2 linked regions of the Anolis sagrei genome follow. The protein of the gene in region 1 interacts with the protein of each later gene in a pairwise test. Links are inferred from orthologs where the notes say so. Each region holds a gene or a part of one and is shown on either strand. Other genes may lie near its edges.

Region 1 (10,327 bases):
TCCTTTTCATCTGGCAGACCAATCTGAACCAGACTTACTGGGAAGTTAAAGGAGCAATTGGATAATACTCTAGTGTGGGATGAGCTAGGTGTGTATATGTACACCCAAAGCTGGTTTTGCAGTCTTTGTCCTTTCCAGACTTCCCAGAATGTTCATTTTGCAAAGGTGAATTTGTTTGTATTGGGAGCATCCAGGACCAGCAGTTTGCCTTCAGAATAGATTGAAGGGCCCTTATTAAATTTGTGACATTAAAAATACACGCTTATTTGTGCTTACATCTAGTTTTGTTTTGTTTTTTCTTCATTTATTTTCCATAGTTTTGGCTGTCCTTGCAGCTCCCAAATGATCTTTGGAGCAGAAACCATGTCCCTGGGTCCACTGCATTTGGCATACTAACAAGCACGGGAATTTTCATAAGAAAATTGATGGGCACAGGGAAAAAATCAGTGTTTGGCTCCTGCCAATGGATTTTCCTCCCTGTGATGTAAACATTGCAAGGCAAACATAAACTGGCAGAATTTCATGCTCCAGAATGGGGTTGGGGGGGGGGGGGGAGAGAGACAGAGAGAGAGAGAGAACTGGAAGGAGCTTTCTTGGGATATCCTTGAAACTATCAGTGACCCCTTGGGTTAGAGGTGGGGCTGTTGCCAGACATCTTTTGATAGCTGTTGTACTGCCTGCATCCAAAACTACTGGGTACCTCCAGTGCAATGCTACAAAAATTAAATATGCCAGCATCACTTTTGGTGAAGCAATCAAGTCTCAAGACGAGGCTGGCTTCTGTGTCTGATTTGTCAACTAAGCTTTTCTCCCCACACCTCTGAAATAAATATTCCACAAATGAAACAAACATGTCAGACTTGTGAGTTGTTACCTAGTGTTTTCCTGGGTCTATTAACTTATTATGTAAATGTAGTAATATGTGTTTGTGGGAGAGCAGAATGAAATTATATAACAGATACTCCAGGAGTTCACCTAGATCAGTGGTTCTCAACCTGGGGTCCCCAGATATTTTTGGCCTTCAACTCCCAGAAATCCTAATGGCTGGTAAACTGGCTGGGATTTCTGGGAGTTGTAGGCCAAAAACATCTGGGGACCCCAGGTTGAGAACCACTGACCTAGATAGTGTAACAGGAGCTACAAACAATGTCCTGTTATTATACCAAAGTATGAGTAAGCCGATCAATTTCCAAAACAAATAATCTGCATGCAAATCTTGCTCTTTGGAAGTGGCTCCTGGCACACAACATTACTGTTTTATGCTCAATAGTAAATTTGTACAGTTAGATGAAAAGTCTCTTCTCAGCTGCTTAGACAACAATATAGCTGAAATATTATTTCTCTCCAAAAAGTTAGGCTATTAAGTGATTTTAAGCCATCGATCCCAACCTGACACTTTACAGATTTGCTAGACTCTGCCTCTCGCTATTCCTTGCCTGTAAGACATCTAGAGGGCACCAGACTTGGGGAGACCAGTATAAGTTCTGCATGCCTAGAAAGAAAAAACACGATTGGGTCAGACCAAGGCCCAAAGCTGCATCTACACTGTAGGAATAATGCAGTTTCAGACCACTTTAACTGCCATGGCTCAATGCTATAGAATAATGAGTATTGCCATTTTGCAAATTATTCCATCTTCTTGGACCAAGTATGTTAGTGCCTCACCAAACAACAGATCCCAGGTTTCCATAGCATTGAGCCGTGGCAGTTGAAGTCATGTCAAACCGCATTGATTGTATAGTGTAGATGCATCTCAAGTGCTTCAAACAATTACCAATGAGTGACCTTCTGTTCAAGCACCATTGTTATTTGTCTTTACTGTTTCATATTCACATGCACATTGAACAATTAACAAATTTTCTTCTGAGTTCTGTGTGTAAAGGTATTTTTGAAAGCGCTAGCTAGCTGTGCCTTCTAATTTCAGATGTGTGTTCTGGTCACACATTTACCCAATGATCTCAGCCTGGAGGATGTATCTCTGTAGACCTTTTAAAAAGAGTTATAAGTGAATGTTCACGTACAGTTCTGTGAGTCCCTCTGAATGAATTCTGCGTTCCATAACAATTTCCCCAGGGTAGTCCAGTACTGATACCATACTAATTAAACGGTCAAAAAGTATACCCAGTGCTTACCTCTAGGTCCTATCTGTAGGATGGGGTGAGTAACAATGTGGTAGCCGGGGCCAATTAGCTACCACGCACACATTACATGCAGGCATGTAGGCCACACACACACATACATCCATACCAAACCCAAACATTTCTGTTTTTCATTCACACTTCTTCTAACCTCCTGTTGCTATTTTAGAGGCACAGAGATATCTGGAGATAGAATGGGATTTTGGAGTGCTTGAAAGGGTGGGGAGAGGGTATTTTCTTGTGCTTTTATGTAGTTTGTAGGTTTTCTCTATTGTTTGTGGACAATCCCATAAAAATTGTTGATTTTCTAAAATGGGAAGAAGTTGAGGAGGGGGCTTCTGGGGCCACAAAAGTAGGGTCAAAAGTCCACACGTAGCCCACTCCTGCTGTAGGATATGCATTTCACCTCGGACTTTCATGTTTTTGCTGTAGACTCCAGCCCACACAGTGCAAGCACTGCAGTGAAACCGCTCCCACCAGTACCAGGGCAACTGGTAAGTGAGAAATGTTTTAGCAGTGAATCTTGGTATCCATACAAAGGACAGTCATGCCACTGGAATGATTGGACTGACAAGTGACCCCTGACAAAAAAGAGAAGCCCTTTCTTTGCCTTTCTTTTCATCCATTTGTTTTCTCCATGGGTGGACTTATTTTCAAGGAGAAATGCGGTAACCTGGAATGACCTTAAGCAGATGGGTGTACCTTTAGTGATGCAAATCTATTTTTAAATGACAATAGCTGTTGTTTTAGGACAATTATTTGCAAAACCTAGCTGACAGCTTCTTTACTTATGGCTGGCTTATCAGAGGAGGCCTGGTGCAGGGTTTACATCTAAATTCTGCATATCACAAACACAAAAAGTAGGCCAGTTCCCAAAGTCTAGTAAAAAGACACAGAACTTGTTTCTGTTCTGCTGTCTGTTCTGTAATGTAAATTAGACTCTGTTCTATTACAAACCCTATGTGGATACATTCACCAAGTTACGTATGGTAGTGTGTGGATGTTTGCACAGCATTGTAGTTCAGCAGGGGTCACTTCCTACCCTGACCCATAAAGTGGGTCTGATCTAGTGGCTGCACTGAACATGGTTTGGGGCCACTGGGCAGGGGCCCTATCTTCCACCCTCCTTCTCCCCATGTCACAGCTGGCAATTACCCTTTTCCCTCCTCCTAGACTCCTTTACAGGTCACAAGACTTGCGAGAAAGCCGATGGACCCCCAAGTATAAAGTAGGTGTTTGTGTCATGGCTGTATATCTGAGAACATACATATACATAGAAATGTGTCATTGTTATTGATAGGCTACTATGTGGCTATACGGTTTGACAGTGGAAAATGATGAGTTAATTACATATAGGAAAAGAAAGTGTAATGCAGCAATTATTCCATGAAAAAATGGTGTTGTAGTTCAGCCAGTTCAGCCCATTATTGTGGCTGATACCAATGTTAATGTGGACGTGGATCATGGGAACTCTGGGCCAGTGAGTCCACATGAGATTTTAAGTCTTGAAAATGATCAGTCTGTGTCTCCAGCAGCTAGTGAAGGTCACATTCCAGAGAGTTGCCAAAATGGTGCAGAGGAGCCAGTCTCTAGGGAAAAGAGTTCAGAGACCGAAATCCCAGGTGCAGAGAATAATGAGTTGGAAGATAATGAGCTGGTTGATAGGATACTTAGTTTTCATAAACTTCAGTCTGCTCAGCAGAATCTCCGAAGGTCCCAGTGCCTTTACAACAGAAGCCCGTATCAGACACATATGTGAAAAGACATGACTTCCTGGTCTATATTAGAGAGGCCGGGGGCATTTTCTAGTCTTGGTCTCCACAGTTTCAGGGGAACCCATTTTTCTTTTTGGCATTTTCTAGTCAGGCTGGTTAATGCTGGTAATTGAGACAACAACTCTTGTCAAGTCTTGGTCAAGGGGATTCTAGTTTCATGCCTTTGTTCATATTTCATGCATCCAAGGATTATTCCTGGATTTTTGTATTGGATTTTATGCTGCCTTGTGCTTCCTCTTCCTTGTACAAACGTGTTTCCCGGCTTTGAGTGCAACAATCAGAATATAATTTCATGCTGTACTGGTACTTTAAGAACCTCCAGTCAATAAAAAATGGCTGTACAGGCAATTCATCAAATGAGATGAATGAGGGCAGTATTTTAATGGCTGATGAGCACTTTCCTAGCCCTAGTCCACGTTTGATATATACCTGGCACAGTTAAGATAACTTTCTTTTGTTTAATTATGAAAGCAGCTCTTCTGCCCTTCATCATTCTTGCTACTCTTTCAACACATACTTCAACAACTAGAAGTGTGGTCACACAACTCAATAAAGGATTTTTTAAATAATGAATCAGTTAAGATTTGCCAAGTTTATCCCCACTGACTCTTGCACAAACATTACTCTCTCTCATTCTCTCTGTATGTGTGTAAATGTGTGTGTGTGTGTAGAGAGAGAGAGAGAGAGAGAGAGGGAGAGGGAGGGAGGGAGATTAATATTCATGCAAATTGAACAGTATGTGTGGTGGGTTTTAAAATTGAACGTTAAGATTTCTTTTCAGGAAAATCATTTCAGTAACATTTGGCTAATAAAAAATATATAGTAAAGTAAATGTAAGGATGTGACAAAACTCAGGAGAAGCCTAAGGTAATAGAAAAAGGGTTAGAAAATCACTGATGCAGTGAAGCATTTGGGCAAACTAACTGAGGTCCAATTATTTCTACATATCTGCTCCAAGGGTGACTCCATCTGGATCAAAAATAATGTTTCTAATATGATCTGAATGCTTGAAATGTGCTTTGTTGTTGGTATTCTTATTATTACGTAATGATAAAGTGGGTATAAATTCTTCTTTACATTCATGATGTGGTATATTTATTTCCTTTTTCTGGGTTTGTTTTTGCAGCAACTACCAGGTCTAATATCTGACAAGTCATATCTGAAAGAAGCGCTAGCTGTTCATAATTATGAACCAAAAGGAAGCTCTGATGTTCGGCTTGTCAGAAACCACAAATATTATATTCTGAGAGATGACGATCCTGACTGGTGGCGAGTAAGAGATTTGGATGGGTAAGTTTCTGCTACAGAAATACTACTGTCATTTTGTCACTACTAAGAAATAATGTTCATATTCTATTAAAAAACTTTCCCACTCATGCTGCACTTGAAATTTACTGAAAAATTAAATGCTCTGATTTAAAACATATGCTGCTAATTTGTCTAAATTATGCCAGAGTCAATCTAGGTGGTACTTAGGTAGCTGAACTTTTTCTGGGTATATTGTTCTGTGCGGGTAGCTGCTGGACCTGGGCCAAGAATACATAGGTTAAAATCTTAATTGTAAAACTGAGGATGGTTCATGCAAGATCACTCTTAGGCCCTTTCTACACTGCCATATAACCCAGTTCAAATTAGATAATCTGGATTTTATATGTAAGTGTAGAAGGGGTCTTTGTTAACCTATCTCATGTGGTTATCAGGCTAACAAAATATACATTCCCATGTATACTGCTATAGGCTCTGCAGAGGAAGGGTTGAAAACACAAGTGAGATGAATAATAACTGTATGTACAAGTGGACTATGAATGCCTTATTGGGGAAAGGATGAGCTTATTGTCCATTTAAGGCACCTGCTGACATACCAAAGTTTTCATAAACTATTTACCCCCATCCTGGCAGAAATGTTAACAGCAGGAAAAAATATGGCAAAGATTATTACCATTCTCATACAGAGTGTAGCAATAAGATCACGCCCCCCCCCCCCCAAAAAAAGATATTATTGATCTTTAATCTTTATTCTAGTCTTGACAATGGTCCCTCATTAGTGTAAATGGAAAGTCAATGTTGATCATCCTGCATTGTGATAAACGTATAAAATCAAATTTCTTCCTCCCTCCTCTATTTTATCTTGCTTTTTTGAGAATATCATGTGTGTTTGTGTTTGTGTGTGTGTGTGTGTAATCCTTTGCAGGCAGTCCCCAAGTCACAAACGACTCATTGTTAAGAACAGGAGTGAGACAACAGGAAGTTATCATGAGGAAAATGTGTCTCCACTGAAGCTTTCTCACCAATCTTTGCTTCCAGAACAAGCCATATTTTTCAAAATCTAGTGCTCACAGTGACAGAAATTGTGGTGAAATCTTCTAAAATCTTCTGAGCAAGGTCATAGGCAGCAAAAGAAACACCACAGCAGTGTTATCCCTTCTCTGTGTTATCCAAAGCATGTGTGTGCACGCACACACACGAGCACACATATATAGCTGGGGTTACACTTAAAAAGCATACCTCTTCCAACTTACATACTAATTCAACTTAAGAACAAACCTACATAAATGATCTTGTTTGTAACTTGGGGACTTCCTGTATTTTTAAAAAATGTATTTTTCATTTACAGTAATGAAGGCTTTGTTCCACATACTTATCTGAAGATGATATCTCAGACCACCGATGAATTAAGGTAAGCTGTATTCCAGCCATTTTGTTACATTAAGCATAGGATACAACAGAAGGGGAAACTTATCACCTTTTGGCCACCTAGGTGCCTAACTAGTGACATTGGTGAAATCCAGACAGACAGGCTTAGTACTAACATTTCACTTAAGTGTTAATAAGCATTTGAATCTCAAGATAATTGTATGGGAGAATGAGCAAGCTCTCTGTTAGTTGGTAGGCTAATAAGTATATGCAAATGTATATAGACTTATTACAAAGAAACACAGGCATGGCAATGGCTGGTCACATTGCTTTCATTAAGTTATACTGTATTTCATGTAAAGCGTCAATTCATTGTCATATGGCAAGTCAGATATTACACTTTCATAGATACTGTTGTCGTAGCAACTCTCTAGCATGCTTATCTGTAATGATTACATATTGGTTCATCTAATATTCTTTGCTCAGGTTCCATTGCTTAGGAAACTAGATGCCTCCACATAAGTGCTTTTTATTCGTGTCAGGAGTGACTTGAGAAACTGCAAGTCGCTTCTGGTGAGATAAAAAAGGGCCGTCTGCAAGGACGTTGCCCAGGGGACTCCCGGATGTTTTATCATCCTGTGGGAGGCTTCTCTCATGTCCCTGCATAAGAAGCTGGAGCTGACAGACAGGTGCCCACCCCACTCCCTGGATTCAAACTGCCGACCTTTTGGTCAGCAGTCCTGCTGGCACAAAAGTTTAACCCATTACACCACAGGGGGTCCTACATAAGTGCTGAATCCAAGGCTACTCCATGGGCAGATTTGTACCATGCTAAACTATATGGTGTGAACAACACACTATTTATCTATGAAAGCTTATACTACTAACTTCTTTTAGTTAATGTCAAAGGTGCTACAAAATCTCTTTGCATACTGATCCAGACTAACAAAGCCATAACTTTTAATTCTATAAAATTGTTGTGTAGCTTCTTTAGTAGTGTTGAACATACTATGGCTCAGCAATAAAAGTGATGATAAAAGCCAACATGCCTTTTTTTGTTTGCAGAGGAACCACTGAGGCAACTGAAATGGAAGACAGCTTTGATAAATATAAGTAAGGAGACCATTGGATGTAGTTGAATATTGGAATTATAGCTCATAAAATACAGTGGCAGTATTTGAGTGTCCACTGCAAGGTGTTCATTACCACAAAAATGAATATTTGCAAGTTATTATAGTTTTACCTGCAAGGTCTGTGCATTGCATTGATGATACTATCAGCATACTATTGCATACTGATTCCATTATATGATGTTCTTGTTATTATTTAATGCATTTAGATATCGCATCCTTCTTTTAAATATTGCACCAATTCTTTGAGTAGGGTTAGAAAGAAAGTAATTAATCCAGAATCAGCTAGTAAACGACCTAAGGAAGTTCTTCATCTGACTCATAACCTACAGTTACTCCAAATCAAAGATAAAGAGGCTATTTAAAGCCCAGAAATCTGTAACATGGAACTTTGTGTCAGTGGCATAGGCAGCACAGCAAGGCAGGGACAGATCAATCACAGCCACTTTAGGCTATAAACTACTTCATTTTACAGCTATAAACATTAGAAGCTACTTAACACTCAGCACATCAAAAACTTGCTTCTTTTCCTTCTGATCGTAACATTGCAAACTCACTAACCGTTGTCAGTACTAGTCCACACCTCTTGCATTTCAAAGTGATGTAGGACATACGACGCTGTGTCCATTTGTTTATACACTTGATTTCTGACCTCTCTAGGAATGCCATTCCCTCCATGGTTCAGTTAACTCTTTCCACACAGGAATATATTACACTCGGCACATAACTACTGCATTTTAAAGATACTGTACATGCATACATACTTTGAAATCTACATTATAAATTGCAAACAACTTCAACACTTTGCAGTCCTAGAAGCTGTTATAGTGGGACTTATTATTGTGAAAACATGCATATAATTGTGATGTACCTGGTATTCTTAGTGCCAGTATTATAAGAAAGAAAGAAAGAAAGAAAGAAAGAAAGAAAGAAAGAAAGAAAATAACATTTGGTTTCTTCCATTAAACAGATGCTTCTGTACTCATCTCTTGTTGTGATTGTGACAAGAGTATTCTGTTTTGTATGATTTCCAGCACAGTCTTTATTTAGGAGTAAAGCTTTCCTCAAAATATATCTTTAGAAATCCCATGTCCCGTGATATTAATAGGCAGGTTTTAGATTTTTAACTTGCTTTTATGTGCTACCTGATTTAATTAACAGATTTTTTTAGTAGGCTCTCTAATTCAATTTCAGATGTTATTTCAAAATCATTAACTGTCTCAAAAATAATAAGTTAGCTATCTCTTTTGTTGCAGTTGGTATGTTGGTCGTCTTTCAAGGGCCCAGACAGAACAACTGCTGCAAGAGAAGGTAGTATTTAAATACATGTGGATTTTTAAAATCAGTTTCTGCATTGGTTCTGCTTGCTTACCTACCGCTTCCTGGAATTACAAAGTACAATATTGGAAAGTGATGACAATTGGAAGGTTTCAGTTAGGATTCATTTTGAATTTTGCTAAGGTTGGTGGTTCTTACAACCTTATAACACCCTTATGCCATGCTATTCCATTTGAAATCCTTTCAAGCCAGTTTCATGGGGGTATCTGATTGTAAATAGCTTTCATTGTGCCCATGTTTCATTTGTACTTTAAATGTCATTTGCATGGTATTTTCATCTGCATTAATATAGTAATATAGAAATAGTAATTCGTTACCTCAGAGTTATATTATCATAATCAATCTTCACCTTTGTACATTGTTGTAATTTACCTTGATTATTTAGTAAACTATTGTTAAACTTATTCTTGTTTGTAGAGTTTTATTTTGGGGGAGTTATAGTAATTAGGGCATATCGATGGTCACTGGGAAAATAGCCAGACACATTTAGGTTTCTCATTAGATCTTCCTGGTGTGCCATCACAGTGATTAGGATCCTGATCGGCTTGTAGCCAATTCAAATTGCTTATAGAAAGTTATAAGAGAGAGCCCACTCCCTGCAAAGGGGGTGTGAGAGAAGAAAAAGCACTGTTTTCACAGTGATTAGAAGCCTGATCGTCCTTGTCGCTGATTCGGATTGCTTATAGAAACAAAGAAAAGAGAGAGCCCACTCCCTCAGGGTGTGTGTGAGAGAAAAAGGCACTGTTTCCACTTTTCCACTGGAAAGTGTAACAAAGTTATAGGAATACTTGGGTGAAGTGTTACTAAATTGAATGCTTTTATAGTAAGGAGAGTTAGGGGCAGCTTTTAAAGTAAAAAAGCTGCCTGCCTGCCCTTTTAAAAGATATTGGAGGCTTGTTTCCTGTCAGAGAGTGAAATGGGCAAGGCTAGCATCTGCTATTTGTTTTAAGGGGGCATTTGGCGCCAAAAGGGTTTTTTACAGTTTGGCAGCCATTTTGTGTTCATCCTTTAAGCCTACTATAGTAATATAAGAACTGTGTCAGCCTTATTTTCCCCTCAAAGAAGCGGCAGCCATTTTGCCTACATAGATTTCTATGGGATTTGTGCTTATAGTGTAAAAGAGCAGGAAATAGGTGTTTTGGCGCCTGTTCTGGCATTTTTCTGAGGAAAAGGAGTTAGAAGACTCTTATACCTATTCCAGTAAATTGTTGTTTTGCTGTTATAGTATAGGTGGTGACAGTAGGCTGTGTGAACATTTTGCCTCACACTCAGTCCTCTTCACCCACATAGAGTTGTTGCCTCGGCAACCAGC
Region 2 (10,988 bases), on another chromosome or scaffold:
CCAGTAAAAATACTGTATTAGAAATGAGAGAAAAACCTTTTACATGTCATTTTTGAACTTTTGCCATTCTTTTCCAGAAATTCTCATCCTCACTACAAAACAAAACATTATATGTCTGCCTCAAAGTACATAACACAGGCAGTTTACTCATTAGTAGGAGTGTACATGATTTCAGGCTCAAACAAACCTCATATGTGACATTTTAGAAACACTTACGTTCTACCTTTAATAATCAAGATACTATTATTTATTATTATTTATTTACCCTATTTATACCCTGTCTTCCTCAACTCAAGGCATCTCACATATATAGGCAACGATTTGATGCCATGTAAACATTCATATATAATAAAATAAGCATATAAATTAAAGCAATCATTAAAAACATATCAAGCCTGAAAACAGCCTTAAAAGTACTTAATTTTGGCTAGATTGTGCCCATTAACAGATTCATTATTGGGCTGACATCTTGTTCATTAGTCCAAATAGAGGAAACCTATTCAATCCAATCTTTAGTGATGAGTCAACACATGGTTAAATCTAATGAATTCAGTAGGTCTATTCTAGTTAGGACTAAATGAGAATTCAGGCCTTAGATTCCCTGTTTCGGCATCATAATATTAAACACTTGATTAATGCATACGCATATATTTGCTTTCCTGACATGTTTTTACTTTCTAGTTTTTTTCCCCTCAGAGTTCTTTAGTGAGAGTCTGGAACATAGGACCAACTCTCTTTGAAAACTACACATGCAGCATATATATTATGTCATATTTAAATCCATTTGTAAGAAGCCAATTAGAAAATGTCCGGGGGTGAAATAATGCTTCAAACCTATTCAACAAGTTTTCATGCTGGCCAAGCACAATTCTTGCAAACACAGCACAGTTTTGTTTAGCAGTTGTTATTTTCTGCCAGCAGCTGCCATCCAGGTCCCCCACTCCGCCGCACACGCCTCTTTCAAAATAATGTCTATCCCTGCGATTAAGGGAGTTTGCAGCCGGTAAGAGGATAGTACTGAAGTGGCAAGAGTAGCAAATCCAATCAACTGCGTGTTGGAAACATAATTACCTATTTGGCACACCCAGAACTTTTTAGATGTTATGTTCTGATTTAGCCCTAGTCATTTTAATAAATGGAATATGCAATTGTCCCAATGTAGCTTCCACTAACTGTCTTCTCAGACTGCTCAGAAAAACGATATATTGCTGTAGTATAAGGGATAGAAACAATTGCTGTTCTCCATTCTTTGGGGTTCATAATTAGACTTCACTGATCTGCTTCTTTTAAGGTAGGCACAAATAAACATTTGTGTTATCAATCAAGGCCTTTAAATGGCTCAGGGGAAATATTAATGCTTTTCCTTCATGCTTTGAGTCCTCTTGGGAAGAAAGGCAGAATATAAATGAAGTATTATTATTATTATTTATTCTTTTCTGGAAAGAAAAGTGGCCTTAAAAGGAAAAAATATTCTTACCTGAACATTATTTAAATATTAATTGTCCCAATTACAAAGAGATCTTCAACTGTAATGTTTTGAATATCACATGCCATTTACAAGAGCTTTTAGCATCATAACTAATATCAAGTATTCAACTAGCACACATATGCATAGAGCATGCTGTAAAATATCCCCTGTAAAATATCTCAAACCCTATTCAAATCTTGATAAAGGATCTAAACAAAGACAGACTAATCTCTCTCTAAAGAGCTAAAGTCATCATTAGTTAGTTCGGGAGAGGGACAATGTTCTATACAGTTCAACCAAAGTCTAGCAATCAGAAATGAGCTGACTTGGAAGAACGGGGCGCATCTATTCTACACTGTCGATTTAATGCAGTTTGATACCAGCTTAAGTGCCATGGCTCAAGGCTCCAGAATCCTGAGATTTGCAGTTTGGCCCCAGTGCTCTTGAACAGAGAAGGCTACAGATCTTATAAACCAAAAGAAGCCAAATGATGAGGAAAAAGCCTAAATATATCTCCATCTGTTGTCTGTCTTGTCATTGAATGCCACATGTGTGTTCTGCGATCCACCCTGAGTCCCCTTCGGGGTGAGAAGGGTGGAATATAAGTATTGTAAATACATAAATAAATAAATAACTCGCATTATTCCATAGTATTGAGCCATGGCAGTTAAAATGGTGTCAAACTGCTATCATTGGACAGTGGGGATGCACCTTGGAATAGGGAGAAGATGTGGACAAATCATCTTTTATCCCACATCACACAGCATACTGCAATTCCCTTTGCAACTCCATATGTTACAGAGCTCCATGCAGTCATGCCAGCCACATGACCTTGGAGGTGTCTATGCTGGCTCTCTGGCTTAGAAATGGAGATGAGGACCAACCCTCAGAGTTGGACATGGCTGGACTTGTCAGGGGATGTTATCACCTACAAAGCCCTAAATGGTTCGGGACCTGCCTATCTTTGCGATTGTATCTTCCCCTACAAACCTGCGTGGGCTTGAAGACCTTCTGGGAAGGCCCTTCTCTCTCTTCCACCTCTGTCACAAGCGTGGTTGGTGGGGACAAGGGAGAGGGCCTTCTCAGTGGTGGCCCCCTGGCCCTGGAACTCTCTCCCAAGGGAGATTAGTCTGGCACCCACCCTGTCCACTTTTCTCAAAGACCTAAAAACATGGATGTTTTGCAAAGACCTAAAAACGTAGATGCATTTGACTAAACGGTTCATTAGATAATTCTGCCCCCTCAACCATACTTTAATAATTGGCCCCTGCACTTTACTACCGTCCCTTGTATATAGTATTCTGATACTTCTCTTCCAGACCTAATTTACCACCTGGCTCCTGCACTTTTTCCAACTGCCCTGCCCTTACAACTTTATTGCACAAGCCCCTCCCCACCCATTTTTTAGCATCTGATTATTCTGTCAGGCTGCGTTGTTGTAGGTTTTTTGGGCTATGAGTCCCTTCAGGGAGATGGTGGCAGGATATAAAAATATTTTTTTCAATTATGTATTTATTGTATCAGGAGCTAACCAAGGGTACAGCTGTAATGCATTTAAAAAAACACAAAGTTTAAAAACTTGGCAATTATATTAAATGTCTTTTGACCAGTAGCTGACCACTTGGAGTGCCTCTGGTGTTGCTATAAGGAGGTCCTCCATTGTGCATGTGGCAGGGCCCTGACTGCATTGTAAGTTAGTATTATTATTATTATTATTATTATTAAAGATATGAATCATGTGGTTATTTCCATACTATGGGTTAAACCGCTGAGCTGCTGAACTTGCTGACCAAAAGGTTGCACGTTTGAATCTGGGTAGTGGCATGAGCTCCCGCTGTTAGCCTCAGATTCTGCCAACCTAGCAGTTTGAAAACATGCAAATGTGAGTAGATCAATAGGTACCACTCCAGCCGTATTGATCTACTCACTGAATGTGAACACAGATATAATTCCACTGGGCAAAGAGTCGAAGGAGGAGGGCAAAGAGGAGGGAACGAAAAGGAGGCAACGCTTTGTTGTAACGATGCTCCATGCAGTCATGCTGGTCACATGGCCTTGGAGGTGTCTACGGACAATGCTGGCTCTTCAGCTTAGAAATTGAGATGAGCACCAACTCTCAAAGTTGGACGCAACTGGACTTAATGTCAGGGGAAAACCTTTACCTTTACCTATGCACTCTCAAAACAATGCCAGCCAGACAAGCCCACCTGCTAGTAGGGATGCAGTGGTTCTCAACCTGGGATCCCCAGATGTTTTTTGCCTACAACTCCCAGAAATCCCAGCCAGTTGACCAGCTGTTAGGATTTCTGGGAGTTGCAAGGTCAAAAACATCTGGGGACCCCAGGTTGAGAACCATTGGACTAGAGAGAGATCCCTGATCAGCCCCTTTTCTGGTAGACACGGCTCCTATATTTCAGAACTAGTGGGGAAATAAGATCTGGGAATACATAACACGTATTTATTGAAAGGAAAATTAAAAACAATTCCCTCCCGTTTCAGAAATGACCACACAAAGGGTGTGTTTACACTACAGACTTCATGCAGTTTGGCCCCACTTTAACTGCCAGCGATCAATGTTATGGCAGAACGGGAGCTGTACCTTTACAAGGTCTTGATCCTTGCCTGCCCAAGAGTGCTGGAGCTCCACCAAACTCCCAGGTTTCAGTAGCCTTGAGCCAGGGCAGTTAAGTGGCTCCAAACTACAGTGTGGAAGCCCCCAAAGACAAGCACAGGCCACGTCAGTTTCGCTTTGTGTTTACCTGTTGCAGTCCTCCCAGGCAATCCCAGGGTCTCCTTCGGCGCAGCTTGGGGCGCTCTCCAGGTCAAGCCATGTCATGGCTCTCAGGGGGCGGGGAAGGCGGGTGGGGGGCCAGAAAGGAGCCCTTCGGAAGTCCCCTGGTTTAGTCTCCCCCCCTGGACTCCTGCCTTGGCTTCTCCTTCTTCTCAACAGGCAAACATTCCTCTCTTCCTGCGGCAACAACAACAACAACAGGAGGAAAAACCGAACGTGTGGACGGAGATGATTCCTCTGGGGAAAGAGTCAGAGTCAGAGGAGGGAAGGAGGAGGAGGAGGAGGCGACGCTTTGTTGTGACAGAAAAAGGCGAGCGGCTCAAGGCGCAACCAGGCACGCTCGGACCGCCTCTCCAGCTCGTCGCAGGGTTTCTTCTCCTTCTTTCTTTCTTCCTTCTCCTCTTTCTCTCTCTCTCTTTCTCTCTCTCTGTCTCTCCCCCTTGAGAGGCGTTCCCTTGGGCTCCAGCCATGCGGAAGGATACGGGGCGAGGGAAGCCAAGGACTGCCCTCTCTGTTTGCAGCGCCATGACCTCAGAGGTCTGGAATGCCTGGCAGCGGGAATGTCAGCAATGGGACAGCTGCGCACAGAGCCAGAGCCAGAGCCAGGCCAGCAGGCAAGCATGGCAGCAAAGGGAAGGAAAGGGAAAGGGAAGGGAGGGTTATTCTCTAAATACAATTGTTGCCTCGGTCGGTGGCTACTTCTCTAGGTCGGTGGCACGCCTTCAAGGCTTCTCTGAACTTTGCCAGGTCTCAAGGAGTGACTTGAAGAAACTTTTTCCATTCGCGACCCCTTTCCACCTGTGGCAAGCATATGTAGCTGGGGGGGGGGGGGGGGGGGGTTTGATGGGCTTCAGCCCCCCCCCCCCAAATTCAAATTCTCATGGTGGTTCGCGAAAAGGCCTTACTGGTGCATTATTTAAACTGTTATGTTTATTCATATCATGATCTGATCACCCTACTCAATATATCCCATATGCTACGGGCCTGCTGGTACTTTATTTAAACTGTTTATTTCATATATATTTCATATACGAGGGGTATTTTTTAAGTAAGGTCCGTTGGAACATAAGTACACAACGAAAGTTTATTTCAAAAAAGTCAATTTATTTTCAGAAAGTACATACGTCGCTCTATTTTTCAACATAGTTGCCAAGTTTGTTCAAACACTTATCATACCTCTGAACCAATTTTAAAATACCCGCTTCACAGGCATGTAGCCGGGGGGGGGGGGGGGCTTAAGGGGCTTCAGCCCCCCCTCCCCAAAATTCTCATGGTGGTTTGCAAAAAGGCCTTACTGGTGCATTATTTAAACTGTTATGTTTATTCATATCGTGATCTGATCACCATACTCCGTATATCCCATATGCATGGGGGTATTGGGGTAATGATACAAAAGGTTTGCTAGGCTAGACCCTCTTTCACTCAGACTCAGCCCCCCCCCCAAAACTCAGCCCCCCCAAAACCCACCCTGAAAAAAACTCAGCCCCCCCCCCCCCAAATTGAAATCCTGGCTACGGGCCTGCCTCTTCACAAATCCTCGCTTCAACTGAAGCCACCAAATCGGCTGTAATCAAAGAAGTGCAACCAGAGCGGTCCTCATCAAGGATGTTGTTATGGCCATCTTTGAATTGTCGTACCCACTTACGCACTTTGCTTTCACTCATAACAGTATCACCGTACACTTCACAAATCTGTCGATGAATTTCTGCAGCAGGCAGGTTCCTTGCTGACAAAAACCGTATCACTGAGCAAACCTCACATGCGGAGGGTGAGTTGAGAGTCTTAAACATTTTTAAAGCACAGAACAGAACCGTACAGGTTAGCTACAGAGCAGAAACTGAGCACAGTTGTTCCCGAGGCATGCCAGTACACGACGCACATGCTCATTGTGGTATGCATGCGAACTACTAGTGTCTACAACAAAACGGACATTAATTAAAAAATACCCCTTGTATTTATATCCCGCCCTTCTCCCCACAAGGGGGACTCAGTGTAGCCTCACATGAGCATCAGAGGATGCTAACAGCATAAATACCATAAAAATTACAATTCACAATAAAAATCATTTTAAAACATTGTACAACATCATCAGTAAATTTTAACAATAAATTAATAGATTAACGTGCCAGTAAAACCAAGCCGAGCCGGGAGAATCCATTTCGCAAAATCCAAATTTTCTTTTCCTATTGCCACTGGCCTCTAATGGAACATCTGGATGGAGGTGGCCAAACTGTTACGTTTATTCGTATCATGATCTGATCACCATGCTCAATATATCCCATATGCATGGGGGTATTGGGATAACAACACAAAACGTTTGCTAGGGTAAATCCTCAGCCCCTCCCCCCAATCAAAATCCTGGCTACGGGCCTAACCTGTGGAATTTATATCTATATCTATCTATTTCAGGGGTCCCCAAACTAAGGCCCAGGGGCCGGATGCAGCCCTCCAAGGTCCTTTACCCAGCTTTCACTCAGGGTCAACCTAAGTCTGAAACAACTTGAAAGCACACAACAACAACAATCCTATCTCATCAGCCAAAAGCAGGCTCACACTTCCCATTGAAATAGTAATAAGTTTATATTTGTTAAAATTGTTCTTCATTTGAATTATTGTATTGTTTTAAGTATTTTTGCACTACAAATAAGATATTGCAGTGTGCATAGGAATTCATTTGTTTTTTCTTCTTCTTCAAATTATAATCTAGCCCTCCAATAGCTTGAGGGACTGTGACCTGGCCCTCTGTTTAAAAAGTATGAGGACCCCTGATCTATATAAATAAAAATGTGGGATTAACATAATTCAAAAACCACTGGATGAATTGACATGAAATTTGGATGCTACACCCCTAACCCAATCTTGATAAAATAGTGAAGAGACAAAACACTGGCAACGAAGATCCGCCTAGTAAAAGCAATGGCATTCCCCATAGTAACCTACGGATGTGGGAGCTGGACCATAGGGAAGGCTGAGAGAAGGAAGAAAGATGCTTTTGAGCTGTGGTGTTGGAGGAAAGTTCTGAGAGTACCTTGGACCACAAGAAGATCCAACCAGTCCATACTTCAGAAAATAAAGCCCAACTGCTCATTGGAGGGAAGGATAGTAGAGGCAAAGATGAAGTACTTTGGCCACATCATGAGAAGAAAGGAAAGCTTAGAGAAGACAATGATGCTGGGGAAAATTGAAGGAAAAAGGAAGAAGGGCTGACCAAGGGCAAGATGGATGGATGGTATCCTTGAAGTGACTGGCTTGACCTTGAAGGAGCTGGGGGTGGTGACGGCTGACAGGGAGCTCTGGCGTGGACTGGTCCATGAGGTCATGAAGAGTTGGAAGCGACTGAACAAATTAACAACAAATTGGAGAGAGTGCTTTTGCTGTGCAGATGTGATGTGGCAGCTTTAAAAAACCAATGTGATTCTAGGTGGCATCAATAGGAGTATAGTGTTGAGATCGAAGGAAGTCATAGTCTCGTTCTATTCTGCTTTGTTCATACCTCACCTGGAATAACACTGTGTCCAGTTCTGTTCACTACAACCAAGGTTCAAAAGCCAAGCCGAGGAGTGGCTCAGGGAGCTGGGTATGTTTAACCTGGAGAAAAGAAGACTGAGAGGAGACTTAATAACTTGTCTAAATACTTGAAATAATGTCATATTGAGGAGGGGGACAACCTGGGCTTGGAGTGAAACCACTCACACATCAAAGCCCTTCCTTCCAGTATCTTATTGCTGGATATCAAAATTAGAATATGTAACTAATAGCAAAAATTACTATCATGTATGATAAATCCACTTAGAATTTTCTATGCTGAGCACTGGAATTATTTTGAAACTCCTATAACTTGAAAAGAGAAAGGGAGATTGTGAGTACAGTCATGACTAAACTTTTATCTGAATGTGATGAAAGTTCTAAAAGTACTGATGTCAGTTGTTTATTAAGTTAAAGTGAAAATCAACACTTGTAGCAACTGAGCATTGGTGTAAAACCAAGGGTGGCAAACTTAGCAGCTAGCAGACAGTTTTCTATTCTGGGACCTTCTGGAGCTGGCAAAATAGAAGTGGCTAGAGACTAGCAGTTTGAAAACATGCAAATGTGAGTAGATCAATAGGTACCACTCAGGCAGGAAGATAATGGCACTCTATGCAGTCATGCTGGCCACATGACCTAGGAGGTGTCTATGAATAACAACGGCTCTTCGGCTTAGCACCACCCCTCAGAATCGGACTCAACTAGACTTAATGTCAAGGGGAAACTTTTACCTTTGTCTAGCGACTTCTGATTTTGAATAAAATGCTTTTTTTTGTACATTGGCATTTATGGGAGTTTCTGTGAGAGATACTTCACCTATGAAAATGTGCAGCACCAAGGATGGCCTTTGGCCAGCTCTTGTGGTTGCAATAAATATCTAGTCTTCTATAAATCTATCCCACACATTGTGCTCTAAAGTCCAAGAAAAATTTATGATATGCCAGAAGTTTACACTGAGAAGAATTCTTGTTCTCTTTTTGTACCCAACAAACCTCAATAGATACCAGCAGACAGTGAGCAGGCGTAATATAATAGCTGAGTGTTGAACTTTGAGACCAGCCACACTGCAGAATTATAGCAATTTGACACCACTTTGACTGCCAAGGCTCCACCTGGTGGAAACCTGGGATCTGATATGGCATTAATGATCTCTGACAGAGAAGGTTAAACATCTCACAAACCTACAAATCCCAGCATTCCATAAATTTGAGCTATAGCAGTTAATGTGTTAAACTGCTGTAATTCCACAATGTTGATACAGCCAAAAGGCACATCTATCTTGGACACTTAGGTCAGAGCTTGTAGAAGAGGGACCAGCCATTGCGGAAGACTAATGGGCCACACTAGCCATCCCAGAGATCTTGGAAATGCACTTCACAGAAATAATTTTTGGGCATTTAAAAGCAAAACCAAACCAATAACAACCCATTCCTAGCAGTTTGAGAGGTGGGTGCACATGCAGCTCATGTCCAGGTTTGCTTTTTTCAGGATGGATCTGCATTCGTTCTTCTTCCCTATTTTTTGCATATTTATTGTTATGTGGCTTCCAGTAATTTCCAAATTATGAGAACCCTAAGAAAAACCTATCACATGGTTTTCTTTGCAGGATTTCTTGAAAGGAAAGTTTGTGCTTACCTTCCTCTGAGGCTGAGAGAATGTGCTTTGGCCAGGTTTTTCCATGGCCAAGCAGCCTCAAGAGTTGAAATCCAATACTAGCATCACTACACGATCCTGTATATTTTGAGTATGTACATAGTCCTCCTTTCTACAGATAGTCCATCTACTTTCTCTGACTCTCTCCCATTCCCTCTCTATCACACTCACAACACACATCCCCCCCTCCCACGCACAACAGATTTATTCCCCCTGACTCCCTTCACCAACAGAGCATAACATTTTACCAACTAAGCGCTTGCAGCTTAGTTGGAGTATCGGTGCAGGATTGCTCCACCCGACTCATTCCCTACTCTCTCAGGTGTTAATACCTGTCTAACCTCTTCCACAGTGAATGCCAAAGTAATCAACTTCTTCAGGCTCTTTGTAGTCTCTTTAACTTTTTTTAGCTACCCTTTCATTCTTTTGTCATGTAGCATTTCAGCTGCCTCCCTGGCTGTTTTCCTAGTTCTTATATTTGTAGGATTTTTAATTGCTTATCCCAATTTTTTCAGCAATATGCTTCTCAAATGATGTTTTCACATTTGTTCTTGATGGTTTGCTTGTTAGATTTTGGGCTTCTCCCTTTTCAAATATAAAGATTTCAGTTAAAATGGCATCACATTAGAACCACTATTCCAAAATGTAAAACAGTGGTGGGCAACTACAAAAGGAACAGGTTTCTATCCTATGACACTTGAGGCTATCCATACTAATAAAAATGCCCCCAAAATGAAGAATGAAGTGGTTGGATGTCCAATTTTTAAATAATATTAAATAATTGGGGGATATAGTTTATTAATGTATTTAATTCTAGATTTAATTAAAGTAGGTGGGTAATAAAAAAAATAGTAGTAGCAGCAGCAACCACCACCCTTTTTTGTCCAGAAAAAGCCTCATCCAAGGAACTGGAGGGGTTAACAGCCACAAAAGCAGCCTTAGTGGGGACTCAGCTGACCCCCAAATTGTATTTTTCTCTCTCTCGTTTTAAAAGAAGACTTCTTTTCTTTTACAGTTTTCCAAACAAACCAAAAACTAGCATCATTTGGAATTAGGTTAGCAAGAAGTATTTAGAATTCTTAGCCAGAGAGTTCTAGTGCCTCCCAAACTACAAATCCCATCAGATGCAGCAGGAGCTCCCCGTGGTACAATGGATTAAACCCTTGTGCCAGCAAGGCTGCTGATTGAAAGGTTGGTGATTTGAATCTAGTGAGCGGGGTGAGCTCCCATCTGTCAGCTCCAGCTTTTCCAGCAGGGATATGAGAGAAGCCTGCCACAGGATGGTAAAATATCTGGGTTTCCCCTGGGCAACATCCTTGCAGACAGCCAATTCTCTCACACCAGAAGTCGCTTGCAGTTCCTCAAGTCACTCCTGACATGAAAAAAAAATCAGACACAACGATAGTAATTCAAGTGGAATAATTGTAGTATAAATATGTTACAAAAAGGCACTAGCTTTCACTTCTTACAAGCAGTTTTAGTGTTAAGAGATTTAACAGCATTGTAGTGAAGGTGATGCGACTTTTTGATTAGCAGGAACAATAGGAATGC

The links.
Region 2: the proteins of BMX (region 1) and PTPN21 interact in binary tests that used the Homo sapiens proteins (3 or more experiments, as listed by UniProt). The link is inferred for Anolis sagrei from reciprocal best matches to the Homo sapiens genes BMX and PTPN21.

What each region holds. Positions count from the first base shown.
Region 1 is NC_090023.1:90,745,827-90,756,153, reverse strand, and holds the start of BMX (cytoplasmic tyrosine-protein kinase BMX), read left to right. Parts: upstream 1-4,997; coding exon 4,998-5,203; intron 5,204-6,527; coding exon 6,528-6,590; intron 6,591-7,612; coding exon 7,613-7,660; intron 7,661-8,933; coding exon 8,934-8,988; intron 8,989-10,327. UniProt on the Homo sapiens protein: Non-receptor tyrosine kinase that plays central but diverse modulatory roles in various signaling processes involved in the regulation of actin reorganization, cell migration, cell proliferation and survival, cell adhesion, and apoptosis.
Region 2 is NC_090021.1:313,895,493-313,906,480, forward strand, and holds the start of PTPN21 (tyrosine-protein phosphatase non-receptor type 21), read right to left. Parts: upstream 4,785-10,988; 5' UTR 4,228-4,784; intron 1-4,227.